Drosophila melanogaster: one gene and its partners. The protein of the gene in region 4 binds, or shares a complex with, the protein of the main gene of each other region. Each region holds a gene or a part of one and is shown on either strand. Other genes may lie near its edges. The genes, in order: Nup205, Nup98-96, Nup93-1 and PCID2.

What was found.
Region 1: PCID2 (region 4) and Nup205 share a complex: the UniProt entries of both Drosophila melanogaster proteins name them as parts of the nuclear pore complex.
Region 2: PCID2 (region 4) and Nup98-96 share a complex: the UniProt entries of both Drosophila melanogaster proteins name them as parts of the nuclear pore complex.
Region 3: PCID2 (region 4) and Nup93-1 share a complex: the UniProt entries of both Drosophila melanogaster proteins name them as parts of the nuclear pore complex.

The regions. Positions count from the first base shown.
Region 1 is NC_004354.4:19,849,822-19,859,102, forward strand, and holds the start of Nup205 (nucleoporin 205kD), read left to right. Parts: upstream 1-2,392; 5' UTR 2,393-2,526; coding exon 2,527-2,748; intron 2,749-2,827; coding exon 2,828-3,151; intron 3,152-3,238; coding exon 3,239-3,340; intron 3,341-3,430; coding exon 3,431-3,993; intron 3,994-4,057; coding exon 4,058-4,558; intron 4,559-4,614; coding exon 4,615-6,166; intron 6,167-6,266; coding exon 6,267-7,651; intron 7,652-7,714; coding exon 7,715-8,767; intron 8,768-8,841; coding exon 8,842-8,999; intron 9,000-9,082; coding exon 9,083-9,281. Other genes in the region: pico, read right to left, coding at 1,042-1,191. UniProt on the Drosophila melanogaster protein: Plays a role in the nuclear pore complex (NPC) assembly and maintenance, but with limited role in NPC permeability. Required for specific nuclear import pathways such as Mad import.
Region 2 is NT_033777.3:23,775,003-23,784,245, forward strand, and holds the start of Nup98-96 (nucleoporin 98-96kD), read right to left. Parts: upstream 6,620-9,243; 5' UTR 6,163-6,619; coding exon 5,883-6,162; intron 5,823-5,882; coding exon 3,285-5,822; intron 3,206-3,284; coding exon 2,687-3,205; intron 2,619-2,686; coding exon 2,436-2,618; coding exon of another isoform or gene 2,416-2,435; exon of another isoform or gene 2,214-2,415; intron 2,106-2,213; coding exon 1,930-2,105; intron 1,874-1,929; coding exon 1,591-1,873; intron 1,532-1,590; coding exon 520-1,531; intron 463-519; coding exon 53-462; intron 1-52. Other genes in the region: mbc (myoblast city), read left to right, coding at 7,338-7,386. UniProt on the Drosophila melanogaster protein: Part of the nuclear pore complex (NPC). Required for MAD import as part of the Nup107-160 complex and required for nuclear export of Moe probably via its association with Rae1. Plays a role in nuclear mRNA export.
Region 3 is NC_004354.4:13,820,373-13,827,052, reverse strand, and holds Nup93-1 (nucleoporin 93kD-1), read right to left. Parts: upstream 4,228-6,680; 5' UTR 4,127-4,227; coding exon 3,966-4,126; intron 3,903-3,965; coding exon 3,722-3,902; intron 3,643-3,721; coding exon 2,839-3,642; intron 2,766-2,838; coding exon 2,137-2,765; intron 2,053-2,136; coding exon 1,356-2,052; 3' UTR 1,143-1,355; downstream 1-1,142. Other genes in the region: jub (ajuba LIM protein), read left to right, coding at 1-10, 101-266, 336-583; Clic (chloride intracellular channel), read left to right, coding at 5,045-5,128. UniProt on the Drosophila melanogaster protein: Required for nuclear pore complex assembly, maintenance and function. Required for nuclear import of phosphorylated Mad via importin msk. Has no role in classical nuclear localization signal (cNLS)-dependent nuclear import via importin-beta.
Region 4 is NT_037436.4:11,623,515-11,628,594, forward strand, and holds PCID2 (PCI domain-containing protein 2), read left to right. Parts: upstream 1-2,926; 5' UTR 2,927-2,965; coding exon 2,966-4,153; 3' UTR 4,154-4,201; downstream 4,202-5,080. Other genes in the region: Akr1B (Aldo-keto reductase 1B), read right to left, coding at 600-684, 748-833; CG6083 (uncharacterized protein), read right to left, coding at 1,212-1,266, 1,337-2,038, 2,103-2,245, 2,402-2,470; Apt1 (Acyl-protein thioesterase 1), read left to right, coding at 4,940-4,987, 5,049-5,080. UniProt on the Drosophila melanogaster protein: Required for the export of nuclear mRNAs and involved in mRNA trafficking in the cytoplasm.

The DNA of each region.
Region 1 (9,281 bases), on a different chromosome or scaffold from region 4:
GACCAGCCAAGCGATGTTCAAACATTGTTTAAATATATAGTTCACTTATAAACAAAATGTTTTTGTTGGATCTGATTATTATCTCGTCCAAATGGAGCCTTTGTTTTAACTGTTTGTTACCATTCTGATCCAGAAACTAATCGACCTTCCTGGTTGGGGTTGTGCCACAAACTGCTGGGAAGTGAAGTGGCTTAGGGGAGCGGGGCGACGCCCGCTGTTGCGGCAAAACAAAGGGGCAGCAACAACATCGCGTTTGTTGCTGTTGCCGCATGGTATCGCACATCGCCTTTGACTTTTTTCGTGTGGAATCGGGTTTTCTTCCGCCGCCCGCGCATAAACAAATCGAGAACCTCAGAGGCGAAAAACGAAAAACAGAACCACAACGATCGGGAACTCTTTTCAGCGTTTATGCACGGTGAAAGTAATGGGGCAAGAACGGAGAAAGAGGCGCAAGAGAGAGCGAAAAAGTTAGTACACCAATTAATGGGTCGGCATTCTGTTGGACTTGAAAGCATTGAGCACTTTTTGTGGTCGTTTTTGCCCCAGCAGCTGGTCCAAAGATTAATCATTCCGCTCTCTGCGTTTGCTTTTATTAATTCTCCTTTGACCCATCGAATGGGGGGAGTGGTAAAGTTTTAAGTTTCTATATTATCAAACTATAGGAAACTATATCCATGATACTAGTTGGGCAGTCTCAACTTTGGAGTACCGAATTTGAAGTCTTTTGATCACCTAGCACTGCATAACTAGGTTATTTTCATAGCCAAGGAGTAAAGTATACTGAATACACTCGAAAAAAAAAACACTAATAGAGAATTATAGTTAATACAATTACCAACCATATGTGAGTCTACCATTTGCACCGTTCTTACTATAATTTGAAGAAGCTGTACTTTAAAGGTATAGTTCAGTTTCTTCCTGTGTACTCTGTCCTATGACTTCTTTTTTTTTTGTGTGTGGGAGCGAATTATGAAGTACAGAGGAAATGGTCGAGCAACACAAACGCACACACACATTTGGAGAAACTTGGGAGATACTTACATTTGTTATTGTTGCTGCTTCCTCGAGGCTGTGCTGTTGTTGTTGCCGCTGCTGCTGGTGGTGTTGTTGTTGTAGCTGTTGCTGGAGTAAGTGCAGTTGTTGCTGTTGTAGTTGTTGTTGCTGATGTGCCGCAATACCACCACAATCCATAGTAATTACGGGTGCGAGGGGGCGGGGTTAAGTGTGTGTGGGAGTGGAGTGGAGTCGTCAATTGGGAGCGCACTCTCTATCTCTCTCTCTCTCTCTCCAAATCTCGCTCTCTGTATTGCTGCTCCTTCGCGCGATCGCTTACTGCAGCGGAATGAAAAGCGAAACAGACATAATTGAAGAAATGCGATAGCTCTCCGTCTTGAATTTCAACGATTCGCCGTAAGGGAGCGCTGTTAACCGCTATTTCAGTCACTGTTTGTGTCTTGTTCCTTTTTTTTATTTTTTTTTATTTTCAGCTAACTCTGCAGTTTGCCTTTGTCCATATTTTCGGTGGAAAAACCACTTCCTTGCTCTCTCGCTCTGGCTCCCTTGCTCTTCTATACCGCTCTCTCTCTCGCTCGCCAGGCGTTGCGTGGGCGAACGTAGGGGAGAGAGCAAGCGAAACGAAAAGAGAGAGGCGAACGCAGTTTGGAGTTTTATGCACTGGAGTTGTGAGTATGTTCGTGTGTGCCTGTGTGACTGCTACCCCCACACACTTGCACTGCCTCTCTTCCTCTCTGTCGCTCTCGCACACCCAGTACCAAGTACTCTGAACTCCAACTCCAGTTACAAATTCAATTCCAATTCGAATAATTCCCAATGAAATTTGAATTTTCCTTCCAATTGCACTGGCTTTGGCAGTTAGTATCCCTTTTGGCATTTATTGCAGCCGAACTGCGCCGATTGCATTTGCATTTACACTTCTACATCCACTTCCACATCCACTTGCATCGACAGCCAGAACCAGCATCCCACTATGGTGCAGTTCAGCCTGCCCGCGGCCATCGGTGATTCACTCACAATGCGAACAGGACACCACTTGGGCAGTGCGTTCGCTGGCCAAATCAAGTGGCGGAGAACAGAAAAAAAAAAAAACGCGAATCGGAACAAAACAAATGGATGCTACTATCGGGTAACTACGAAAAGTCCGTGCGTAGATTTTCACGAAAACGCCCCGCCCGCGCCGCACTGAAGTTGTGTTAGTTAGTGGTGCGACAACGCACCGATGCAGCGCCTCGATTATCGTTCGATAAGCATCGATTTTCCGATTGACTTGGTTCGAATCAACCGTTTAGCCAGCGCAGCAACCGCAGTTAGCGGGCACAAGCACCGAAGCGCGTACGAGCGTGGTGAGTTCGTACGGTGGTGAACATCTGTGTTTTCCAGTATTTGCAGCACCCAGCCCTGGTAACCGGCGCCTTGTCGCAAAGCGAAGCAATCTTGCCGCGTTTTATAGTCAATAACTGCGAATCAGCAAGAACTGCGTGAACTGAGCGAACCGCAAAACCAAGTGAAATGGATGGTGAGTGCCTGGCCAACGAGCAGATGTGCGTGGGTCGCCAAATCACTAATGCCACCCATGCGTCCACAGCTGTAATCGAGGACATGTGGACGCCGTACAAGCATTTGTACAACACTTTTCAGACCGCGGTGTCCAATCGCAGTGGCTTCACCTCGGATCTGGAGCAGTGCCTCAAGAAGTACAAGCACAACTTCAGCAACTTGCTGCGCAATCCGGTGGGTATAGCAAAACAAGCGCTTGCAGATCCGTAGATTTAACTAATTATTGATAATCCATTATTGAAAATGTCGGCAGCCGAGAAGCGAGAAGAGCCGCAATCTCCTACGAAATGCCCTCAACGAAGGCGTCCCGATGCAGGGGCATTCGCGAAAGACAAAGATGTCACAGGACCTGGCCGACGAGGCGGTCATTCTGTCCGACATGTTCGATCTGGACGAGGGTTTCGCCGTGGAGCTGCTGTGCACCGCACAGCGCCAGCAGAAGCATCATCCCGGCCTGTCCAGAGGCCTTGTCGCGGTGCTGCTCTACTACGATGGACGAAAGGCCATCAGCTGCACGCTTCGCGACATGTTCCAGGTGGTTAGCGGCGTCTCGTGGAACACCGAACTGCCCAAGGAGGTAAGTTTCGAGATTTCGACATCGCAGGCATCGCAGTGCCGCTGAAAGAGAGATTCACTGACCCTGATTATCGTTCTACGCACGCAGATCACCGGTCTGGTCACTAACTATGCCGAGAGCCTTGTCGACGGCTCTGGGATACTGGGACGCCTGCTGCAGCTGCTCGAGGAGATGGATGTCGACAAGGAGGTGGGTTTGTATGCGCCTGTTTCTGAAATTCTCTGAAATTGCATATCTTCCTTCGCAAATTGTTATTCATTTGTTGTCCAACGTTCGCAGTGCGCTATGCTGACCACAAACCGCGCGTTTGGCTCCAAGAAGCATCAGAACCAGGTGCTCGGCCTATACGAGGACATTCAACAGGCATTGGCAATGGCCCTGTTCAATTGGTCGGCACAACGCGGCCTGCCGCGACACATTGCCATTCGGCTGATGCACCAATTGGCCAACCGAAAGAACCACGACGCGGGCGGCAACATGGACGACGTGACCCTGATCATGCTGATGGCTCTGCTGTATGCGTACGATACCTCCATGCTGCTGGTCACCGAGGAACCCAATGAGCACACAACCCGACTTCCGATCTTCAGCGATCGCGAGTTCGCCGAGTGCTTCCTGGAGGAGCTGTACGCGCAGAGCAGCTGGCAAGCACCGCGCCTGAATGCCATCATTGCCTACAGCTTCGGACTAACGCTGGCCAGCCTGCGGCATGCACCTTTGCAGCTTCAGGCCACCGCCATCTCGATCATCAATCGCGATGAGATGCTCATCGACGAGGCACTGGGAGCGCAGGTATTCGTCTTCTTCCACAGCTTGCTGCTCGAGAAGGATCTGGTCTATAGGTGAGTACTGACAACTGAAGTGTCAATTGCCGATTCGCAAGCTAATCATCATTTGTGCTGACAGCACGCAGTTCTTCTACCGCCGCGTCCATCTGCTCATCACGGACTTCATCGACTTCATGAACTCCAAGGTGTCGGAGCTGCGCGGCCGAGCAGACGAGTCGTCACACACGATCATCAGCTTCCTAAACGAGGGTCTGGAACCGCCGCCCAACTTGGACTCCAACTTTGAGCTGCTCATGCTGTGCGTGGCCAAGATGCACGGCGATCCGCGCGTCACCATCAGGCTGTGCAACGAGTACTGGGGCCCCGGCGATCCCAACGGCTCTACGGCATTCAAGAACACCTCGCGCTCGGTGTCGCTGTTCAAGTTCATTAGCTTGGCCAGCGACCTGCTGCCACAGACGCTGTTCAAGGCCTACCTCAAGATGATATCCGGACTTACACGGACCGATTTCTCGGCTCGATGCGCCTTCAACATGCTTAGGGTGCCCCAGATGGCCACCGGCGGCAAGTATGCGGTTAGCTGGGATCACTTCTTCACCACCCTGGGCAACTACTATACGTAAGTGTGACTCAAATCTGGTATTGAAGATCTCTCTGAAGATCACTATCTTCTAGTTCGATGCGCAACGACTTTAACACCAACATCGGCATGAGCGGCGAGACCATTTACCGCACCCGATCGACACCAAAGGCCATTACGCAGCGAGAGGCGGAGCATCTGGTGGCCGTAATGGGCATCATACAGGCGGTGGCGGAACACGACGAGGTCTCGCGCATCATGATCTGTGACCATCCCAATTGGCAGACGCCGCAGGTGCTCCTGGGCCTGGTTGCGTGCGCCACGCCGCTTTTTTTGAAGGCGGAGATTCTGCACACGCTGGCTGCCCTGGCCAAATCGAAGGAGACGGCGCGCGTCATCTGGTTCCACCTGGAGGCCTCGCAGATTATACCCACTGTGCCCGTGTCTAGAAGCTATGCCCAGTGCAGTTTGTTGGAGGAGATGGAACAAATCGAGAGCCGTTCGGAGCAGTATAACCTGACGCGCGGCATCCTCCAATTGCTCTACACACTGATGACCACCAATCTGCCGAAGAGTTTGGGCGCCGGGCAACGGACACCGGCCTACGAAGGCTATCTAAAGTCCATGATAAATTCGGTGTTGCTCAAGTTTTACAATCGCGCGTACAAGGTTCCCTCCGAGAAGTGGCAAGTTGGCGCCCAGTGCCTGAAACTGCTCTACTACCTACTGGCCACCTATCGGCCGTCCGCAATGGATTTTCTGGAGACAGTCGATGAACCTCCCTATCCGGGCTTTCACGTTATGATGCAGCTGCAGCTGAAGTCCGAAATGTTGCAGCTGCTGCTGTGCATTGTGGAGGAGGTGCGTGAGCGGCTGGACAACTACAATCGCTTTCAGGGCAAGAAGCTACTCGAGGAGTGCTCATTGTACGCACTGCTGATCCTGGAAGCCGCATTGGCGAAACAGAACGCCTTCTTTGAGGCCCACTCGGCGGCCAATTGCCCCATTTTGCTGTCGGGCCTGAATCGCATGCTCCTGGATCTGAATCCACGCAGTCGCAAGCCCGATCACGTGCTGAATATCATTAAGTATGTAACCTATAATAGCTGGCTGCCGCGGCACGCCCTGGCCGCCATTAAGATTCTGGCTTCGGTCACCCAGCTGCCGAATGTCTCCACCCAGATTCTCAGCATGTACGGTCAGGGCAGCAATGAGAAGCTCGAGATTCGTCAGGGTTTCGTCGAGTGCCTGGAAATGGAGGTGTGCGTGGGCAAGCACGACGACGATTTGTTGGACCAACTGGCCCTCAACAATCACGTTCCGTATCTGGGATTCGGCGATGATCTGGACAATGAGCGAGAGATGAGCGGGGAACGCGAATATTCAACTATTGAATCGCAACTGGAGCTGCAGGCGGGGGATGGCGCGCTGGAGAGCAAACCGGCTAGCATTGAGCTGCAACTGAAAGAGGCCATTATCAAGCTGTTCGAGATGAATCTTAGCCAGCAGTTGCCCAACTTTGTGTACTTCCTGCTCGGCGTGGATGTGCTGCGCGAATTTATGGCCAACGGACGGCAGCACCTGGCCATCGAGATGCAAAGCTCGTGCGTGAACTCCGTAGTGCTGTTGCTGGAAAAGTACATGGATGTGAGTTGAAAGCCATTGGCCATTACTATCTATTCTAACTAACTAACTAACTAACTAACTTACCAACTTTTAACAATCAAATCAATCTCTGATATTGCAGAAACAGCGTCACAGCGATAAGTACTGCGAGCACACGGCGAGAATCGTGGAGCGCATTTACCATCTGTTCCATGGACTCTGCGCCAATCGCCGCACCGCGGAGACGATACTGCGCTACTTCCGGCTAACGTGCAGCGACTTCCTGCTGCGTCACCTACGCTCGCTGCCCTTCCGGCAGCATCGCGAGGATCATGTGCTGCACGCCATGGGCCACCTGCTCAACTGCGTCTCTATCGATGTCAAACTGGCGGCCAAACATGGCCAGATGACGCGCTTCAACCAGATGTGCGACATTTTGCTAATTGGAAACGGAATGGAGCGTTCATCCCATGGCCTGTCGATGGAATTGGGCCACAGCCTGATTTCACAGCCGTCGTCGTCTTTCCTCGCCATGGATGTGCTACCGGCCGGTGGATCGATAAGTGCCGTGGCACATGGGGCTGGTTCGGCGTCTCTCGGAGCTCCAAACACTGGGGTCAAATCACTTAAGCCATCGCTGCTGCAGGAGACATCGCAGGGACTGCATGTCACCCGACTGCTAGATATTCTCGTCCTGGAGGCGGGCACGTTGAGCCAGCCGCAGCTGGAGTTCTTCGACGGGCATCTGATCACTCAACTGCTGCGCGACTGCGAGGCATCCGCCGAAGCTGGCGCCAATTCCAGGGCCAACTTGATCAACGTGCGCAAACTGTACTACATTCTCACCGACGAGCTGTACATGGTGCAGAGCATCATTGCCAGCGGCCAGCGGAAGGCCATTTCCACGGAAATCATGCTGCTGCTCAATCACGCCGTCAACATAAATCGCGTGCGGACACAGCGCTGCGCCACGCTGGCCTTCATGGCAGCATGGGGTCAACTGGTGCAGGTGCTCTTTAGCAACATGCCCGATGCCGTGCTTCCGGCGACGCAGCGTCGCCAGCACATCATCGATATCGTCGAGAAGGTACTCATCAAGGTGCAGCCCATACAGCCCATCATCGAGATATCCGTACAGGTGAGCGAGACGGTGCTGCTGCTGCTTGCCAATTTGCGCTACTGCTGCTACCAGGCCGAGGACCAGAGCCCCGAGGATCTGGCCGCCGAGGATTCGCTCAGCAATGGCAATGGCAACGCCATCGGCAACGATTCGCAGGTGAACGCATTGTGTCTGGGCCAGAGGGCAATCGGAACTGGTTCGGATGGCGGCAGTGGAGGTGGACGGGATATCGGTTCCGGTGGCAACAGCAGCAATCTGCGATTCATTCTCAAGAACCTCGTCCAGTGGATCATGATCAGTGAGGTGAAGTCGCAGAAGCTGCGCATCAATCTGTACAGTTCGCTGCTGAATTGCCTGCGGATCGCGAAGCGACTGCGCACCGACGAGCATCTGGAGTACCAGGAGACGTAAGTGTATCCTTCTCAACAGCAGTAGCAGGCAGTTGTAGCTTTCATTCTATTTCATTGCAGATTGATTTCGCGCCAGGAGAGTGCACGCACGTACAACAAGGAGCAGCGGCGCGACGATCGCCTGCGGCTGAAGGCCATGGCGGCGGAAGTGATTGGCACGTTCGGCGAGAAGCTGATCGACACCATCTGCCACGATGCGGTGACCGGCCACGATGTGTGCCGCATGCTGGCGCTGGCCTGCCTGGACATGATCTCCGAGCTGCAGGCGGTGAGCACGCTATGCGACTTTGTGGCATCGCGTGGCTACCTCAAGCACATACTGGAAAGCCTTGATCAGTCCAGTACGGCGCTTTGCGGGATTCTGCAGCCCGTGCCGGATCACCTGAGGCCGCTCTACGTCTACGAGTCGCGCATGGCCTTCCTCACGCGCATGGCGAACAGCAATGTGGGAGCCCGGCTCCTCCTCACCGAGCAGGCGCTGGGCGTGCTTTCGAATATGAAGGTCTATGACCAGCAGCCCGACCTGAAGTCCAGCGAACTGAATCGTAACGAGCCGCAGACCTTCCTCCCGTCCATCGATGACCGCTTCCGGTCGATCCTCCTGCCGGCGCTGAGCCTCTGCGATGCCATTGTCAACTCGCTGGGTCCGCGCAACAACTCCGCCGCCGTGCAGGTGCTTAACTTTCTGTTCGCCCACATCGACATGGTCGAGGCCATGTTGCGCTCGGCCACGCCGTATATGGACCTCGGCCACCTGCAGCAGGTGGCGGTCATTAGCAATCTGTTTGCCCGCGCCTCCACGCACGAGTTGACCGCGCTGGAGGATAGCGTGCAGCTGGATTTGCGAAATCGCCTGGGCCGCGTGCAGCAGCTGATGATCGTGGTGTTCGGACGCTTTTGCGTAAGCGAGCCCACCATTCGTCGCATGCTGCAGCAGGATGAGGAGCAGCAGACCAACCCCACCGATGACTCGAAGAGGCTACGTGTCAAGTATTTTCTGGATATAGCAGCCAACGTGTCGCTCTACTGCCGCAACGTGGTCACCAGCCATTCGAAGGACAGCATGACCTCCAAATACTTGCTGACCACCGTGATCAATGATGTAACGCTGCTGTAAGTCCATCGCCCATTATATTTAATTGTATAGCCATCGATTATTAATAGCATCGATTTAATTCTCCTTGAAGCACTGGCAAAATGTCCAGCAAAAAGCTGACGACCATCATGCACACCATCCTCAATCAGCTGAAGGGCTCCATCGGCTACTACCTTTCGCAGAAGTCGATCGCCGACAATCTCCTCCAGCAACGCGCCTCCCTGCCCAACATCAGCTTTGGGCCCAACGGTAAGTTCTCCTTGATTTTGGCATTTAGCATTTAGCATTGATGCATTCCACATTTGGCTGATCCATTTGTACCAATCAACCAGGTAAACAAAGCTACATAGAACTGAGCCAGCGATACAACGAGAAGCGCAGCGAACTGAGGCAGGCCGTCTTCATTGCCGAGCAGAATCTGTATCTGCTGTGGATCCATCTGGACTTCTATCTGCGCAACACCATCGACTACGCCAACGAAAACAGGAACGCCATCAACGAGAGCAACATGGACGACGACAATGACATGTC
Region 2 (9,243 bases), on a different chromosome or scaffold from region 4:
AATGACAATTGTTAGTAATCCACCGAAATAATTCTTATCATAAGGAACCAACCGTTTATGATGGCATCAGGAGCAATGTGTTGGAAGATGACATCGTGCGCCGTAGCAAAATGTTTTGCCTTTAGCAGATATTTGGCTTGAAGGTGATGCTTTCCTGACGCTCCCGCCTTTACCGCCTTCGCATAGTCCACCCACGACATCGGAATACCAAGCTCTTCGACGATAAAGCGCTCTTCCGCATATAGAGCCACCTTGGCGGAAACGCTGACATTCCTCTGTAGCATTTGCTGAACTGCACGTTCCCTCTGGGTCTGCTGCTTAATATGCAAAAGAACAAAGATACCCCACTGCCAGAGGCCTTCGTTCTCCAACTGGCTAGCGAAATCCACCGAAAGACGAGCCTCCGTTAAGGGCGAACAGTGACGGTAGCCAAGAGCTCGCAGAGTTTGCAAGAGCAGCCAGCTAAAATGATTTGATATGATTTATTTTGCACTGTACCAAAAAATTCTTTTAGCTCACCTCAAACGAAAGTCCATGGCATCGGCGGTATGCGTTATAGGATTGAGAGTTTCTTCCAGGGAATGCATACGTTTAGAGTGTAACTGGAGCAAGTGGTAGCGCAAATCGTAGACGGGCTTCTTGGTGTCAGTAGGTGCGTCCCTGTAGCTGGGCTTTGGGGGCTCCGCATAGCACTCTTCCGCTTGGAAGGCGTCGTTATAAGCATTGAGTGCATCGGTGATAGACGATGTTGGGGCTGTGAAATACCATAGCTGCAGGGCCAGTGCTGTCAGCCAGTTTTTATTCTCGAGTAAGTTGATGGCCCCATGTGAAGACTGCATCATTGGCGCTCCGGCGGCCAGCATGTACATCTTAAGGCGCTCCAGATCGATATACTTATCCGACTTGCTCTGCTGCCAGGCAAAGAGCTGCTCCTCCATTAATAGCCGGAAGACAGCTCCGGAACTTAATTGGGACAGCACAAGAGCCAGATTAGCATCATCGTAGCTGAAGGCCAGCTCACAAGCCTCATTTACGCGATGGCAGCTAAGTAAATCCAACATGTGCTCCAGGTAGCTGTGGGTGCTAACTTTTTTCGAGAGTAGATCTTTGCCCAGCAGCGTGTTCTCAAGCCACTCGGATAGCAGATTGCGCCGACACATGACCATGTAATGAGAGTTCTTTTCCAGGTCCACCAGTTCATCGTGATCGCCCCATAGTGCGAATAAAAGCGACCACACTGACACGCTATAGTCCTCTTTTAAGCCAGCATTTCTCTGCTTAAGAGACTCGGAGAAGTGCTTGGAAACTAGTTTCGTACCGCTATCGGGATGTATACACGGGCACTCACTACCCTCCACATTAACTGAGAGGCAGTCGTTAAGCTGAACTTCGAGATGGGGAATGATACTTTCTCGAAAACCCTCGTTGCCTTTGACCATGTTAAACTCCACCAACTGCATTACACTGGGCGACAAATCGGTGGCCGAGCGCGGCGCAAATACCATGGAGACGGGCAGGGATGGTCCAGTAACTGAAGCAAAGGGAAATTATTATAATTGGACTGCTACAGCTTGTTTCAGATATTCTTACATTCTTTTAGGTTTTGCATGTTATTATAGGTGCTTGGCAGTACCAATGAGTTTTGTGGACCAAAACTGAGCTTAAAGCTGCGTCCTTTGTAGAATCCCAAATCGGCGATCCAATTATCGCGCATCTCATAAGCGATGGACCTGGGTAGGGGAACCGTGGTGGCACGCAACTTAATCGGAGCCACTTTGGGCTTACAGACAAACTTGAAGGCTTTAGTGACAGGCATTTCAAACTTCGTTTCTTTTACAGCTGCAACAATGCTTCCAGTTGCCATCGACGATGTCTGAAATTGATCAGGATGTTTATTGGGCTTCAAAGTAAAAGGTTACGTCGATATACCTCCTCATAATGTGCATCACACATCAGGCTGGCCTCAGAGACGGAGGAAGAAATCGGCAGAGCGGGCGATGGGTGTTCAAAATCGTACTGACTGGAACTCTCGGAGGCACCATCTTTCCAAACAAGAGGTTCCACGTTGAAAAACTTGCGATGACGAAGAAGACGCCCCGTAGTCTCTGTAGAAATTTATGAGTAATTTTCAAATGTATAGTGGCCGTGTGGGATGATAAGCAGTGAATTGTTGTAATTATAATGAATTGTTGCCAAAGCAGGCAAAATGAATTGGATTTACTAACACATTTGAAAGCTTTATTAACTTTATAATTTGTGCTACCTTTTTAAACATAAATATATATATATAATACTTTTTGCAACGATCAAAAATCATTAAATATCGTTGATAATTAACAATACATATTTGCTCAAAACTAACGATTAACATTTAAACATCTACATATCTTTTACTGTAAGCAATTTGAAAGACCATCAAGAGATTATCCACCTACCCATGGGTTCGTCCTCGGGAGCATTGTCCTCCACAAAGAAGGATGACTTCATTAGCTGCATTTTGTGCGCCTCGTTGCCTACCATTTCCTGAGCCAAAACAGCTGTGGGACTGGTAATCGTTGGACGTTGACGCGGTGGATCAAACATGGAGAAATCGGAGTTGCCACCAGCTTGGAAAAATTCTGCGAATTAAAATTAAGTAAATTACAATTAATGAAACTAAACCTTTTAAAATGGACTTTAGACGTACGTGTTTTGTCCATTAAAAGGAACTCGGCGGTATCATCCATTGGCCTGAATCCGCTGGCAACACCTGCGACCAAGGCTTTTGGGTCCAAGTTACGGGCTGCATCTTCTGAAATCTTCTGCGCTTGGCGCAGCGAATTGAGCGTCATCTTTTCTGCGTTTGCCCGCTGCTGAGCCTCAAGCGTTGCAATTTTGGCTTTTTTCGGGTCAGTGGGCAACTCGTCCTCTTCGTCGCTGTCTCCCAGGCCATATTTAGAAAAGTGCTTGACGCGGAAGACCCAACTACCCGTTTCCGGGCGGTATTCTATAAAGCGCGTATCGTTTTTATCGCACACCCGGCGCAACTTGCCCTCCCAGTCCATCTCAAGCAAGCGTTGTGGGTCCTTGATGGCTTCGTGCTTGGTCTTGTCCAACGGCCATACTTGGTCCAAAGTGACCTGGGCGTCACGGTTTAGACCTTGACCAATGGGCGGCTTGTTTTCGTCGTCGGGATAAATGATAATCTCCTTGTTGCGAAAGTGGACTGTGATACAAATTGTTTTGCATTAAATAAATGTATGAGAGCAAACACAAACGGTTATAAAAAAACACAAGACTCTTACCAATCTCATCGAGGTTCAGGCCAGCCACATCCATTTCCTTGCCGAAGAAGACATTGCCGTATCCTTCCCGACCCACCGTAAAGTTCGGAACCACACAGGATCCGTCCTCGGCCAGATAGGAGCGTAGGTCGTCTAGCGATGGAATTGTATAGTAACCCACGCGTCGCAGCACAATGCCTGTTGGATGTGATTCGTCGTCTGCTGCCTCTGCAGCAGCTGCCTCAATGGCTAGGCGGGATTGGTTTGCTGCAGAGTCCTCTGCCTCATTAGATCTGTTCGAAAGCACACTCTCATTGGCCTGCTGCGAAGTGAAGGTTTCGCGACGTGCAATGGTGCTGGATTGATCCTCAAATGGATTCTCTGGGATGGTTGACACCGAGAGGCGAACGGTGGAGGATGGTCGGTATGTATCTAAAGGTTTACGTGGCACAAGCTCGTTGAGGGTGCTGTTATGGGGCGATCCCTGATCCATTCCAGTCTGAATGTTGTGCTGGCGTACCTTCTCAAGGTTGTTAGGATGCAGCCATGACTCACGGCGGCCGTTATCCTGACTTTCCCGTCCATTCGTTGCTCCAGGCGAGTTTCCAGCTGGTGGTAGCGGCTCACTTGGAATGGCTCCGCTAAACGACTCGCGTTCTTTGTTGGGAGTTGCGCCTTTGGGTCGAGATTGGGGCGTGTTGGGAGCACTGCCAATAGAGCTAGAGGGATTTCCACCCTCTACACTTTTTACTTTGGGTTTGATAACTAATCGTTTAGCACTGGGCTTCAGATTGAAGCCCTCTACAGAAGCATCAAACTCCTCGAGACCATCAAACAGCGATTTTCTATTAAGTGTGCTGCCCAGCGCCTTTACCTTCATTGGAGCAGGATTGTTGCTGGTACTTATCTTGTACTGGTTGCTGGTCAGGTCCAGAACTGCTTGTTGGGCAGCAGGATTTGTAGCTCTTGTTGCATCTGCTTCACTGCTTAGCTTTAGATCCTTGAAAATCGGAGAGTCTCCGTAGGGAGAAGTTACCCTAGCTAGGATCTGCTGATGAATGGGCTGGTGTGAAGGCGTCATGATACCCAGTGTGGGCTGAGCTCCCATAATACCACCAGTTAACGAGTTGTTTGTACCCATACCGAAGCCTCCTCCGCCCAAGGAACCACCGACACCTCCGAAACTGGTAGTTCCTCCTCCAAACAGTCCTCCCGTTGGGGCAGCACCCGTGCCACCCAAGGTTGTAGTACCTCCTCCAAAAAGACCTCCTCCCGGCTTGGCTGTATTTCCGAAAAGTGATCCGCCCGTGTTGCCTGCGTTGAAATTAAGTGGTGCTGCGCTGGTGGCTCCAAAACCTCCGAATCCGGACGTTGCTGGCTTGTTCAATCCCGAGTTAAAAAGGCCTCCTCCCGTTGCTGCTGTACTGGTGTTCAGGCCAAAATTTGAAAACGGAGTGCTAGCCGTGGAGGTTGCGCCGAAAGTTGGAGCAGCAAAGCTAGTGGCGGGCTTGTTTCCGAAAAGGCCTCCGCCGGCGGTGCTTGTTGCTGGAGCTCCAAATCCAAAACCTGTCGTGGCTGCTGATGCAGCCGTTCCCAACCCAAAGGCTGATTTATTTGGATCGGCGGCTGGTGTGGCACCAAAAAGAGTTGACTGTTGCGTTGCTCCGGCTGTGGTTCCAAAGCCTCCGAATCCTGTGTTAGTCTGTCCGAAAGCAGGAGCCGCACTGGTAGCAGGTGCCTGACCAAAGAGGCTTCCTCCCTGTCCAAAAGCAGGCTTCGCCCCAAATGGATTTGAAGCGTCAGCTGCGGGAGCGGCAAACGGAGTGGTGGTGGTGGCTCCAAAGGGCTTTTGCAGAAAGTTGTTTTGCTGGGTTGCTGCTCCGAATGCATTGTTAGTCGCCGGTTGTTGGCCAAAAGCGGTGGTGCCAAACATGCTCTTATTCTCGGTCACAGTTTGGCCAAACAGACCTGTGCTTGGTTGGGCAGTGCTTCCAAACAGGCCACCACTTGCAGGCTGAGCGGGCTGAGTAACCTGAGCTCCAAATCCAAAAGCTCCCGGAGCATTCCCAGCCTGTGGACCCTTGCGCCCGCACATATAGTCTTCCAGGCGGAGCTCCTCCAGAGATTTGCCCTCGAACTCCTTCATAGCCGTGATGCAGTGCTGCTTAGTGTTCACACTATTTGCCTGACCGCTCTTCATCAGGGTATCTGTACCAATGGTTGGCTGGTACTTGGCCACGGCCGTGCCCGTATTGACTCCGGAAGCTCCCACGGCCGTAGCCTGAGGTTGGGCAAAGGCGGAGGCGGTGCCACTGCCAAAAACATTGGTGGTTGTAGGCGCCGACGTCCCAAAGCCTCCGAATCCTGTTGTACTGGTGGCGGCAGCCGGTTGGCCAAACAAAGAGCCCGTGGGCTGAGCAGCAGCTGTTTGCCCAAAGGCCGTCATAGTCGGCTTGGCGGCTCCAAAGGCGGGTAGCGTCGATTGTCCAAAGAGGGAGGTGCTTGCCGCCGTCTGGGTGGATCCAAATATGTTCGAGGTCTGTTGCGGCTGCGAGAAGGCTGCAAAGAAGAAATTACTAAATTAGTAACATGATACCACTTCAAATGATCGTGTCTAACCTCCAAAAGCCGTGGGCTGAGCTGTGGCAGTGCTTCCAAATCCCGTGGACGTGTTTGCCCCGAATAAGCCTCCGGCGGGCTGAGCTGGTGTGGCTGCCGCACCGAACAGTGACTGCTGCGCGGGTTGGGCGGCAAAGGTGGAGGTGTTTCCAAAGGCCGGTGCGGCGGGTTTGCCAAATGCCGACTGGCCAAACGGAGTGGTTGTTGTGGTGCCGCTGAATCCGCCAAAGCTGGTGGCCGCCGGAGTGGCTCCGAAGCTGGGTTTCGCGCCGCCAAACATTTTGCTCGCTGCTGCTGCTCAGATAACAAACATATACTAGGTAGATCCCCTGCTTTGTCCTTCGCCGGAATGCCAACTATCGCGATGAGCAATGCTTCGATTTCACCACGTTGGGCAAGCTGGGGCGGCTGCGCCGGATGCGAAGGTTGTGGGACCGGACAGGCTTAGCTTAAAACAAATAAACACTCGCGAATTTGTCAAGTCAGCAGGAGTCGACCGAGTCTGACGCAAAAAGTGGACAGAAATGGCGCGCCGATTTTTTCACGATGTTGAAGAAAATGCAGCCAAAAGTGTGACCAAGGCGTGAAATCGCATGCAAAAATACACTGTAAAAAAGCAGGATACAACTGCCAGGCGCATAACTATTGACCATAACTTATTTATGGTCTTAATAAAATTTTTGCTTGGTGCCTCCGAAGCAAATTTACTATGAATGTGTGGAAAATGTATTTTATAACTTGGGTTTCTCGTATTTTGTAGGTAAGCTCGATTTTCACATTTTTATGTGACCGTACTGCGAACAAAGTGAAAACCCATTTGACATCAACGGTGTGAACACGCTGTAAGGGGCACTCTATATTTGATATTTTCGATTGGGAACAGTACGGTACTTCTGGGCATCGAGCACGCTCATTCACAACAAACAGTTGAAACGCGCGGGTTGTTTTCCGAGAGCGGTTATTTAATTAATTGGCAACTGTCACACACGAGTGTGTGTGCGATCGAGTGCGTGTACATGTGATAATTAGCTGAGCGGCAGCGGCCAACTCCCAGCCCAAATACAAGTCGAGAACAAAACGAGCGAAAAACGGCGCAAAATGCATTTGCGGAGCGACAATTTGTGCGGAATGCTAGCTTTTGTGCAATAATTATTTATTGGTTGCAATTGTCCAACCGGTGTGCTTTTCGTCGAAATCTGTAGCGAAATCGGAGGCGAAATGCTTGTGTTGGCGGCATTGTGAAAACGAAATCAAAATTTCAACTACGTGTTGCTCTTTTGCCGTTGCCTAATTTAATGTCTTGTTGTTTTTATTTTCGCAAACGAAAGTCCATCGCTTTGCATGTGTGAGTAGCGATCGTTTGTCGCCGTGTTGGTGGTAAAAGTCGGCGCAAAAACAACAATATCAGCAACAACACTAGTAGAAGCAACAACAACGAGAAGAAAAGCCTTCAAGATGAGTGTGTGGAGCGACTGCAATGCCAAGCAGGCAGAATTCGGCATTGGTAAGTTGGCAATGCGGCTATTAAGCCGATAAATTAGGTAGAATATGGCTAGGCAGGAATGTTTAAACAAAGTGCTTTGTAAACAACAATAAAGGAAAACTTTATGAACTGTTGGGCGCTCTTTTCCAGAGCACACCTCATCTCCACCCCCACCTCTCTCTCTAACTCTCTCTCTTATTTCACCGCATGTGTGTGCCTCCTGCTGCGTTGCTACGGTAAAACTTGTTGCACCTTCTCGCTTGCACACGCTCACTCGGCTGCTGTTGATCCTCCCTTTCCCGCTCTCACTGTGTTGTTTCGTTTTTCATTTCATTTCATCCTGCTCAGTCAACACTAGCATAAAATTCTGAGATTTGCTCTTGAAACTAAAACCTGTTTTCTATTGTCTCTCTCGCTTTTCATACTGTCTCTGTCTCTCACGTGCAACTGCAACACACTGCCAGAAAAAAGGCCTGGTACACATAAAGAAATTTTATACAATTAATGTAATTTTACATAAACTTAAATCTGAAGTACTACAACATTAGTACTACAACTTTTACGTATTTACGGGTGTGGGATTTGAAACCTGGTCTTTGTAAACCCAAGGCAAGCTGCATCAAGCTGACAGTAGAAATGTTTATTTTCTGTGTACACTGTGAGACAAATCCCAATTCAATGGCAGTGACCATGAAATATCTAATCGCGACCCGCTTCGAATGCGTGTGAATTTTTTATGGATCTCGTTTTGTTGACCTTTTCACCGCTGATCAATAGATACGACAGGTACATAAAGTACAGGTACCTCTAGTCCCAGGTAGATCGAGTGGAACTGGGAATCTCGTTCGTTAACACTCGAATGGAGCTTGCCGGTGTGTTTGCACTTGTTATTTACACACGTTTGCCTCTGCCTCTGCCCTTTTTTGTGTTTGCGCGTTTACTAGCTGTCGAAATCGCTGCGAGTACGAGTATCTGATAGTACCATTGGGGCGTGGCCAGGTGGACGGGGGTAGTGGGTGGTGAGCGGTGGTTGGTGGTATAATGTAATTAAGCGCGATAATATTTGGAATATGGGGCGGCAGATAAGTTAGTCGTTGGCATTGAGTAGCGAATTTGGCCTTTGTAATGCGAAAACGACTTACAGCATATACGAAATTCAAAAGAAACTCCTTATCAATAGCAGTTTGATGTATTCTTGTCTTATCGCTGTTTTCCATTCTGTTTGCATACCTTTTGTTTGCTTCAATTTTCAAATTCTAAGCAAACAGCCGGTTGCCCCACATTTTGTAAAAATTTTTTAAGCCAAAAGATTTGCTTGGCAGCTCATCCATTTTGCGTATTATTTTCGAAATATTGTAGTTTCTCGAAGGCAATAGCCATTGAGTAATCGCTTTATCACTTTATGGGCCCCATTCGAGTTATCGTTTATCGATGTGTGCCTGTGCTTGTGGGTGGCACTCAGCTGAATTGAATTCCGTTGAAGTGCGAGTGAGTGAGCGAGTTAAAGTTAAGTCCTCGGCCTCCTGCATAGCGGTAGTCACTCGCATATAAAAGATCTGGTGCATACATACATATTTTTCGTATGCTGTTCCCACTCACTCCTTTGGATGAGAATGCTGCATCTCCCTGCTCACTCACCTCCATGCACAGTGGGATGATTCCTGAAATTTACCTGAAATATATATAAAAGTAAACCAAGCGAATAGCCACAAAATGAAGGGATGTTTACTCATAAAAGCTAATTAACTTCCATCAAAAAGGCTTTTCAAATTTACAATTAACAAAACCATATATTTAGGTAACTAGTATAAACTAGCATAATTTGATCAGCTTAGTAATAATTGTTTTAATCCAAAACGTCCACTTAGTTATTCTAAT
Region 3 (6,680 bases), on a different chromosome or scaffold from region 4:
CATGGAAATGGTTCGTACTGCACCCCATTCGTTTCTATCCCACTCTAATTGGGCAACTTGTACTCACATTGACGTCGCTCTCGCTCTTTCCCTCTTGCAGATCTTGCAGGCCATGGGCAAGTCGTATCATCCGGGCTGCTTCCGGTGCTGTGTGTGCAATGAGTGCTTAGACGGGGTGCCCTTCACCGTGGACGTGGACCACAAGATCTACTGCGTCAACGACTACCATCGAATGTTTGCGCCCAAGTGCGCTAGCTGCGGCAAAGGTGGGTTCACAACTTCATTCCGAATAATACGTCAATGCTAATCTCGCAATCGTCGGCAATTCTCGGCAGGCATCACACCCGTCGAGGGCACCGACGAAACTGTGCGCGTCGTCTCGATGGACAAGGACTTCCACGTGGACTGCTACATCTGCGAGGAGTGCGGCATGCAGCTGACCGATGAGCCGGACAAACGCTGTTACCCGCTGGACGGGCGCCTGCTCTGCCGCGGTTGCCACCTGCAACGTCTGGCGCTGCAATCCTCGCCACACGCTCGTCATCAGGAGCCCGTCTGCGCTTCGTACCAGTATATGGGATAAGCGGAACGGAGTGTGGCTGGGAGAGGCGGCGCGGCGCAGACCGACCTTCCGACCTTCGACTGAGTGGCGCACAAAACCAGAACAAACTATCGCAATCAACTTATTCCAATTAACAATATTATCTTAAATAGACAGAAGTGAAAACAAATGCATTTATACGAAACGAGGGCCAAGCTAATGGCTTTTTTTTTTCTTCATTTTTATGGCAGTGTACTAGGATCTCGAAACGGATCTGTTAGAAACTATGTAATGGATTCCTAAAATCTCCGACAGTTGGCAGCCATTGTTGGCAATACTATTTTGATACAAGTATATTGATGTGTTCTTCATATGTATGTCCTGGGGTGTTCCTGAGACCTCTTGAGGTTTCAATGCAATAGCAAACGGTGTCTCAAATTATGCAATAAAATACTTAATACTTCTTATCTGAAAGTCTTTTGTGGATATTCCAGTGGGTTAGTGGCTTGTTGTGATACATACCATACATTCGGTTATTAAGTAGCGAAAATGCAAAATTTTAATTGTTTGCCTAAACCGTGAGTAATTAACATATACGTGTGACATTTTGAATTTTGTTTAGTTTTCTTATAACACATACATACAAAATATTTTCTTTTAAATTTTTCGAATGCTTAATGCTTTAAATGCGTTGCGCTTAACAGAAAAATTCCAATAAAATTATTGGAAAGAAAAAAATATAATCATCAATAAAATTTTAAACGAACTGAATGAAATGCATATAAACGATAACTAGGTATTAATCTGGCTAATGTTAGTGCATAAGGATCTCCAGCTGGACGAGCCGCTGGTTGGTGGTCGATGGCATTCGGTATGGAACGCTGGCAGCCATGTTGGTGAATGCCTTGGCCCTGTCTCGCAAATGTTTCACGGCGGGCTCCTTATTGACGCACTTGCTTTCATCAAAGAAACCGGAAGCTGTTTCATTCGAGTCCATTAGCTTCACATACTCCTGGTATACAATGTCCATGGACGCCAGCAGGATATCGGGCAGCACTTTAATGACCTCGGGACCCATCCGCTTTATGTTCGTCACACACTCGTCCACTTCCAATGAGCTGGCGGGTATCAGATGATTGTTGGTCAGGATTTCTAATGCCGAACGCAATGCGCCTTCGTGATAGTGGTCAAAGAACTTCATGACCTTTGTCAGCACCGTATATGTGACAACAACTTGAACCTCTACGTCCGATTTACGCACGACCAGCGCCGCATCTAGTCGATTGATAATATCGCCCAGCCGGTTACGCACGCTTCCATTCTGCGTTGGTTGGTGGACCACCTGTGCCAGTAGCGAGTTCACCAAACGCAGTGCCTTGTCCAGCTGGCCACCAATAAAGTAGAGCTCGATGGCCAATTCGTAGTCGCCGCGTTTCGACAACTCATCGCCCACCATTTCGGCCAGAGAGTACTTATCGCATTCATGAATTTGAAATTCCGCATATATGCCGCTAAATAAAGGGGAATGAATAAACCATTAGCTATTTGCCAAAAGGATTTTGAAATCTTTTAAGAGTACCAAAAACGTAACATACCCATAGCGCAAGCCGTTTTTCTTATCCTCCGTCCCGAAAATCAGCTCTAGCATTTCGTCGTCGCATTTCTCAACTAGCAGATCGCAGACGCAGGTGAGCATCACGTTGCCGCGTCCGTTCTCGGATTTAAAGTTGCGCAACAGGTAATAGTAATGCAGCGCCTGCGTGGTGTCCGTTCTCTCAAAGCACTTGGTGTACATGACGATCAGACGCACAAGATTGAGTCGTTTCATTGGTTTTGGGTCGTCAGGGTCGGAGCTCAGAAGGGATTGTTCCACGGAACGTGGTGTTCCCAGCATGGATATCTCGTTTAGGGCAATGGCCATGTGGATAGCGTGCGTTCGATTTTTCTCGGTGCGGGCGAGGAATTCAATGGCGGCCTCAAATTGGCCGGTAAGCGTCAGCACCTGGAAGTATAGCGCCGCCTTCTCGCGCGCATTGAAGTAGTTCTCGCCGTACTTTTCTAAAATGAGCGATTGCAGGCCGCTGAACGTTAGCTGCTCCGTGTTGCTGTCGCTTTGGTCCGACCTGCGCAGAATGGACAGTTGCATCCACAGGAAGTCGTCGATGCTGCGCATTAGTTCTACGTGAGTGAAGTGCGGATCACACGCCAACAATACGACGTATACCTAATGGAAAAGAGAAAAACATATGATTAGCACGAATATACGCAACAAGTTGTAGCAAAAGATGAGCACTCACCGCCTTTTTGTAGGGATCCGTACAGGCGCGCAGTCTACTGTTGTACTCCAACTTTAGCTGACCCTCAAGCTTTACCATCAAGTTGTCCCTATCGCCGTTCTTTCGCAACGTCAATAGCGTAAGCAGGTCGGGGCAGGTTCCCGATTCCTTGAGATACAACGCAGCCGCGTCCATATCGCCACTCCGCAAGCTATAGTAAACATGTGGCCACAATGGCTGGCCATTGTTCACGTCATGCAGCCCGTAGAGGGCTCGCTGCCCCTGGAGAGTAACGCCCACATAGGAGCGGACCATATGGTACACGCTGGGGATTCCTCCCCGCCGCGCTTTGGCCAAATTCGCGACGATAAACTTTCTCATATACGTCCTATATCTGCGCTCCAAGTACGTGCGGGCCTGCTCAACGAATTGCGGTGATGTCTGACGATTCTTGATTGGATCGATGGTGCTCGAGACTGGCGGCAACGCGGTCATAAACTGCAATACATTCCACATCTCGGCTACGGACTCATCGTTGAAGGAGTCTTGGACCACGTGGGCAAGGGTCGACAGCAAGTTAGGGCGTCTGCCCAGGATGATCGACTGGTTGTGGATGGCGATCTGTTCAGCGTACATCTGCTCATGGCCATTCAGTTGGGAGTACGGAGTGGGCTCATCAGCCATGGCCGTGGGCACTATCTGAAACTGGACGTCGGGGAAGTCCTGTTGGTTTGGTCCGACCAGAGCGTTTAGCAGCGCTTCCTTCTCCTCGCCCCACTCCGAGTAGATGCAACGCCACTTCTGTCGCTCCACAGATTTAAATATCTGCAATGGATTGGTTAATGGAGATAGAAAGTTCAGAATTTTGGGTGTCTGCCTGAAGCATGTCATTTGGCGCACTCACACTGCGATTCGTCTCATCGATAACTGAGAGTATGGCGTTCTCCCGCTCGTTCTTCAGATAGGCCTGCACATTGGTCTCCGTCACCGGATCAATCGGCTCGAAGGTTTGGCGGGCGCTGAGCGACTCCAGCTTCTGTGTAAGCTTGGGCAGGTCCACGCCCTTAGAGCCGAGCAGTATGTGGCTGCATTTGAATGACCGGTTAATATGACAATTTTTGGCGCCTGGCCTATAGCGAACTACTCACGCCTGCAGATCATTGGTGCCCATTTGGGTGACACGCGAGTGAAACTCCTTGGTTGCCTGCAGAACCTGGGACATGGTCCGTTCCACGCCCGGCACCTCCGTGTCCGTATTGGTCTCGTTCGTCAGGCGCTGGGCCTGCTTCAGCAGTTCCATCAGATCCATGTCGTGATATTGGGATGGAAAAGCCGGTGCCAATAAAATGATATTTCCAACGAAGCGCACACCAAGCTGCTAGTGCTGCCACCTGGTCGCAGTCCGGATTATTTCGGCGCCATAAAATGTTTGCAATCGGTGGTATTCTTTTTGGTATATTTAATAGTACAACTGTTATATGTTAGAATAACTATAATAATGTCTACAGATGGTATATAATTTAAAAGGAATATTTGATAATTAAAATCATTAAATTGAAAAATTTATATAGATAGCAGACTAAGAAATTATTTCTCAATACCTAAAAGTTGTTATAAAAACAAAGAAAATAGTCGATTTCCCCGAACGCGAAATTTCAAAATTTTTATGGAATATCGATATATTGGGGAATAAATTGAGAACAAATGGGAGTTTTGTAGGTATAAGGTATTTTTGGTATTACGCAATCTGTTATTGAAATGTCCCAATAACAACTGTTATTGAGAGGGAGTTGTAAGTACAACTTTAAAAACATTTGGTATTAGCTTGGTATTTATAGGCCGGCCGAAAGGCAGGACCGTCTGGTAACACTGAACAGCAGGCGTTAGTGTATTTCGCGCAGTGCAGATTGGTTTATTCAGCGGCTAACCAATTCAATCGTGAATAGACTTTAGCAGCGCGCAAATCGTAGAACAGAACGGCATATTTTTTTTAAACACTGCGAGGCGAGCTTCTTCTTCCCTCCGTCTCTCTGTGTGTGTGTGAGTGTGCTGCCTGTGTGTGTTACAGCTTGTGTACGTGAGTGTGTGTATTGGCAAAGGAAATTAGCACAACAAAAGCGAAAAGGAAACGAACACGCACGCACCTCGTCACGCGGATAAAGAAAAAAACTCTTCGATCTGATCAGAGATATCGAGAATAAACGATAAAAATAATAACAATATCGCAATGTCGGAAGTTGAATCGCAGCAGAGCCAGGAGACGAACGGCAGCAGTAAATTCGATGTGCCCGAGATAGAATTGATCATAAAGGTGAGCGAACAGCGACATTTGCATACCCCTGCAGTTTTCCATTTCGCTCTGCGCAAATTTCCGTGCAGAGTGAAAATGCAGCCGGGGCAAAAGCAGAAGCAAATGCAAACAAAGGCAAAAACAAGAAGCGACTGGGAAAACGCGAACTGCCGTTTGTTTCTCCTCCTCCTCCCTCTTTTCGGCTTCTTACCCCTGTTCGTTCTTCGTTGTCTTCTTCTTCTTCTTCTCACTGTGGCACTTTGCAGTGTGTCACATTTGGTTAAAACGAACAGAATACGTTTAGCACACACCGCCCCCTCCCCTCTCGCCGACGTTCCCCTTTCGCCTTGCGGTTCCTAAGCATCGCCAAAACCGGTTTTCTCCTTTTCTCCCTATCGCACATTCACACACACATACACACACACATACACACACACGCACGCACACTATCGCATACACATGCATTCGGGCACATCTGCACAGAACGAAATTGTTGATTGAGTTATGATTTTCAGAACTCCATGATTACCATTATAAAGCATCCAAATTAAATATTACAGCATACCTTTTTGGTGCAATACTCTAAAGCCGCCCTTTTTCCAAATTATCCGAGCATACCAAGCTGTTCATATGAAATATCTTTTTAATATTTTATAATTAACAATTAATCATGATATTGCTGTGTGCGCACAGTCTGAAATTTGTGGAACGTAACATATTACTTCGGTTCTTATCTGCTAAAAAATTTAATCACATTTCATTGCGCCAATTGCTCAACAAATGCTCCTTCATCATAGTTCTCCTAAGCCCCCCGCATCGCCCCCCTTCGCAACCATCAGCATGTTTCTCTCTGTGTGTGTGTGTGTGAATTAGAGGTTCTTTTTTATCTTTTAGTGATTTCTAAATTTCTTGACACATACGTCATGCTCCTCCAAAGAATCGAAGAAAACAAAAAGCTAGCACTCCGCACATTTGCGGTCAAGATAATAGCATTGAGAAGCCAAGATTCCTAAAGTGTGATTAATTAAATGAATTTAAATCATAGAACTTAACTTTAGATTGCTCAATATGTAGTGTTTTATTTCTTTATGTATTACAAATAATCGATAATAAAAACTTGTTCGATTTTTTCTCCTCGAATACAACGCTTTTCTTATCAGTTCTGTTCTTCGATAGTGGAAAAAAAAACATGTGATAAAACAATTGTTCATTGGCATCTTTCTTAAAGGTGATATTATTGCAAAATGAGTCAAAGAAAGATTACGAACCCTTTGGTTTTTTTTTTTGTATTATAGTAGAGGCCGCAATCTATTTCTTTCCCCGGAATTGTAAGTCGAGCATGAGTCCACTTAATTTTGTTTCTTTTGTTGGTTCCCACTGTTTGCCGAAGTAATTGTAATTGTTTTCGGAACACTTTGGAGCCCTGCTGTTGTTGATTCTATTGGCAAACTCGACTCGACTCAACTTGGCCACTCATCCAGCCCACGCAAATGGAGACCGCACCTCGAGTCGTCTGCCCATGAGTAATTTCCCTCACCTTTGCATTGCCTAAACCCAAACAGTACAATATACC
Region 4 (5,080 bases):
TAAAGTAGTGCAATCACTTGATATTCTACTTACGCCCCAGGTTCCCAGTCCAATGATTGGGACTTCCTTGCCGTTGTTGAATTTAACGTTCGGTACAGCCATTGTACTATATTTTCGCTTATTGTTTAAGGATATTTATAAATATTTATAATACAATTGGGAATCTTTTAACGATTGCCGCCTCTCAACAAACTGAGCGATTCCACTCAGCTGTTAACCGCTTATATACGCACCGCAAAAGCTTGTTCGAAATTCTAAAAAGCTTTCGGAGGACAGGGCTGCATAGTCGACAAGCCGAACAGCTGAGCGATCGTCAGTTACGCTTAAATATCGAGTGCTGATATACTCTCTATATAGCATAAAAGAAAATATATATTAAACTAAATCAATTAAAACATTTAATGATTTCAATAAATGATACTAAAATGTATCATTTTACATATGTTATGATCGCTATAAAATTTCAAAAGCCCTTCAACCATATAGGCTCTTTATGATCGCTATGTAAAAATTTTTATATCCATATCTTCGTAAAAATATGATTATTTATCAAAACTATGGCATAGATATGAAAAAACAGACATTGTCATAATATTTACATTGAAAGTTCCGAGCCCAATTACTGGAATCTCATTTCCGTCCAAGCAAACCACCTTGGGAGCTCTAGCATACTCCTTCTGACACCTACAATATTTGTGGAAATTATACTTTTGATGCTTTGTTCGATTTGATTTTCCTATATATTACCACATAAATCGCTCTGGTTTCCCATAATTCCTCAACGTAATGCGAAAAACAGGCCTAACCAATTGAATTTTCATTAGAGTGTTCATTTTGCACGCCAGTAAATTTTAATTATTTGTGTAGAGACTTCTTGACGGATGGAATGCAATGGCTACTTGGTTTTAGTATTGAAGCCTAAATGAAAAATAGCAAAATAAATGTGTATATAAAAATAAACAGCCACATTTTAAATACAGCTTAAAATGCCCACCAACTCAAAGGCTACAATTCGATTTTACACACAGCAAAACAGTTTAATTATATTATATTATTATATTGTATAACAATAATTATGCTAGACTTCTCAGTATAAAGGAAGTACCTGGACATCATCAGTATAACTCTGCAGATCGCCGCATACAATCTTACTTATCACATTAAAGGCAATCAGTTTAAATAACTACTTGTACTTCTAATATTAATTAATATTAATTATCTACTTTGGCTTTGGGTTCAAATGGATGATGAGGATGTCCATAGGCCCTAGGAGAAAAATAGAAAGATTCGAGATATTTCAAGTTAAAACCTAGGAAATGAAAAGAGCAACACCTACGCCTTCATGGTCATAAAACGCCCATTGCAGTCCAATTCGTTAATGGCCTGTATGTCATCGACGGCCAACTCAAAGTCCCAGATTCGCTTAAAGTTGTCCAACATGTGCTGTTTGCTTACTGATCTTGGGATGACAATTATACCCGATTGTGTCTGAAAGCGTAGGAGCACCTGTGCCGCAGTCCTTTCGTATTTCTCAGCTATAGCCAAGATGGTCGGATGCTGGAGCAGTGGATAAGCGCCGGGCTTCTCGTAGGGCGTATGTCCCGATCCCAGGCAGCTGTAGGCGGTCACAGCAATGGCATTGTCATAGCACAGCGTAATCAATGGCTTCTGACTAAGGTACGGGTGGCACTCGATTTGAAGAACTACCGGTTTAAGCTTGGCCACACTGAGAAGTCTATTCATCTGCTGCTCATTGAAGTTAGACACACCGATGGCCTGGCACAGACCCTCGTCCACCAGATTCTCCATTGCACGCCACGTGTCCACATAGTCGATGTCCTCGAATGCGGCCTTATTGGTGTCCGGACACGTGGGATATAGGTTGTCACTGCCCGACTTGTAGGCCATGGGCCAGTGCATCAGGTAGAGGTTTAGGTACTTGACTCCCAAGTTCCTTATGCTTGTCTCACATGCCGGGCGCACCAAATCCGGCTTGTGGTGTGTGTTCCAAAGTTTGCTCGTGATGAAGAGTTCATCTCTGCAGTGCAATATGTATTTATGGCTTAGATAAACGATTGATTAGGCCTGAAAGCAGCACTTACCGTGTGACCACTCCCTCGTCCATTTTCTCCCGGAGAGCAGCTCCCACTTGCGCCTCATTGCCATAGATATGAGCGCAGTCAAAATGGCGATAGCCTATATCAATAGCATCCTTTACTGCTTGGGTCACCACTTCCGGCGGGCTCTAAAATGGCGAATAAAACGTAAAAAGCTGAGGTGCATCAAAAGCTTTTGCTTGACCCCGAAGAGCTTTGACATTGACCGTGAAATATGCAGTGGAAATGCACATTTCAGCTGGCTATTATTTAATAACAATATATATCTATGTAAAAGTACTTACCCGCCAAGTTCCGAGACCCAACATAGGCATATTTTTACCATTGCTCAAGAGAAAATTCGGTGTCGACATGTTTGAATCCTTTTGCTCCTTGTGAAATATGTTGTTGCACTGGCTTCGTTTTTGGAAAGCTTTAATTTGTAATTTACTAAGTGAACTATACTCAAAGGCCTATTAAACTGGCTAGAAACAGCATGTCTTGTGACAGCTCTGCTATCACAACTATATGTACGAAAATTGTTTAAATTTAGAATCTTTTGGGCAAGCAAAAGACCTTCGCGGAATATAATCGATTCGCTGCAGAGGGAAATTTTAAAATTTAAAACAAAAAACTCTTTTTCTGCGTTCAGAGTTTTATTTTATAAACCGAGTATAATGTAAATAAATACCTTTTTTTAATAAAATAAAATAAAATGTTAAAAAAAAAACTTTTGAAAAAATATTCTTTGTATTATCGCGTTATAAAAAACAAAGACAATCGATAGAAGTTTCCGATGAAAACATCGCATTCGCAGATAGTGCCTGACCTACCATCTCTAATTTTGCCGCCTGCGAAAAACACAAACAATGTTCGGCACCGTAAATAACTATTTATCCGGCGTTTTGCACGCCGCCCAGGATTTAGATGGCGAGTCCTTGGCCACGTATCTCTCCTTACGAGACGTGCACGTTCAGAACCACAATTTGTACATTGCCCAGCCGGAAAAGTTGGTGGATCGATTCCTGAAACCGCCACTGGACGAAGTTGTGTCCGCCCACCTGAAGGTGCTGTATCACCTGGCACAGGAGCCTCCTGGTTACATGGAAGCCTACACCCAACAGTCGGCAGCCTGCGGAGCCGTTGTGAGGCTTTTGCAGCAGCTGAAGGACGAGAATTGGTGCCTGCCACTAATGTACCGCGTGTGCCTGGATCTAAGGTACTTGGCGCAGGCCTGCGAGAAGCATTGTCAAGGATTCACACCTGGCCACGTATTGGAGAAGGCTGCCGACTGCATAATGGCCTGTTTCCGCGTTTGTGCCGCTGATGGACGAGCTTCAGAGGAGGACACCAAGCGTCTGGGCATGATGAACCTCGTAAACCAGCTATTCAAGATTTATTTTCGAATCAACAAGTTGCATCTGTGCAAGCCCCTTATCCGTGCCATCGATAATTGCATCTTCAAGGATTCTTTTCCGCTGCCGGAGCAAATTACCTACAAGTATTTTGTAGGTAGACGGGCTATGTTCGACTCCAACTACCAGGCAGCCGTACAGTATCTGTCGTATGCCTTTAGCAACTGCCCGGATCGGTTTGCCAGCAACAAGAGGCTCATCCTCATCTATTTGGTGCCAGTGAAGATGCTGCTGGGATATCTGCCCAGCAAATCCTTACTGCAGCGCTACGATCTCCTGCTGTTTCTCGATCTGGCTATGGCCATGAAGGCTGGCAATGTGAATCGCTTTGATGAGATTGTCAGGGACCAGGAGCTGGTGCTGATCAGGAGTGGTATCTATCTGCTGGTGGAGAAGCTCAAGTTCCTCGTGTATCGCAACCTGTTCAAGAAGGTGTTCGTCATCCGGAAATCGCATCAGTTGGACATGGGTGACTTCCTCTCCGCCTTGCATTTCGTTGGCTTAACCGATGTTTCTCTGGACGAGACGCACTGCATCGTGGCCAATCTCATTTACGATGGAAAGATTAAGGGGTACATCTCACATGCTCACAACAAACTGGTCGTGTCGAAGCAAAATCCATTCCCCTCAGTGTCCCTTTAGTGCATTTTGTAATTATTGTGAATTTTTAAGAGTAAAAGAATCCAATTTAATCAGTGTATTAGTTTACTGGATGGGGCATGTGAATGGAGGGCACCAACGATGAGTATAAGACCTGAAGACTTTGAATTTAAAGTACCTTCAATTCTATTTGGTTATAATTTTGTTTGGTTTTTCGAAACCTATATGTTTCAAATCAACTTATGAACTAATAATATAATTTTTGGTTATAAATATGTTTATTTTTCAACGGTTTTAAACTAATACCACTTTTTAAACTTAATCGAACTTTGGAATTGATATATATCGATTTTTGTGCTCGAACCGATGTATCGACAGCGGAATCGGTTTCGGTCACATCTCTAGGTCCACCGACTATCACTCATCTCTGAACTTTTTGGAACGCAGCTGCATGAATTGTCGTAGTTGAGCGAATTTAAACAAATTAACACAATACTTGTGGTATTACCTGGTAAATGATTAGAGCCTCATTCGCGCAAAGTGTACATAAGACAAGTGGCGAAGATTAGATCTAGTTAGCTAGTAACCATTTCTCAGCCGGCGACGTGTTGTCATTTTCGCAATCGTAAAATCAATATTACTAATTTTGCTTTGCGTTTACAACGTGACATAACTAAAACGCAAACTACAAAGTGTTTCTTTTTCACTGCATTGCAGAAATCCGCTGACACCGAAAAAAGCGACGAAAGCAGCGCCAAGTCGCCGAATCGCAGAGTACCTGGAATAGGAATAGTGCGTCCCCAGTAGAGGCTAAACTGAACAGCAGACATGGCTGCGCCGGTCATTGTCGAGGCCACGGTCAAGCAAACCGCCACGGTGAGTAGTCCGCCGTAGTCCAAATTCCGGAAGCCCTCGACTAATCACTTGTGTATTGCAGCTGATCTTCATGCACGGCCTGGGTGATACGGG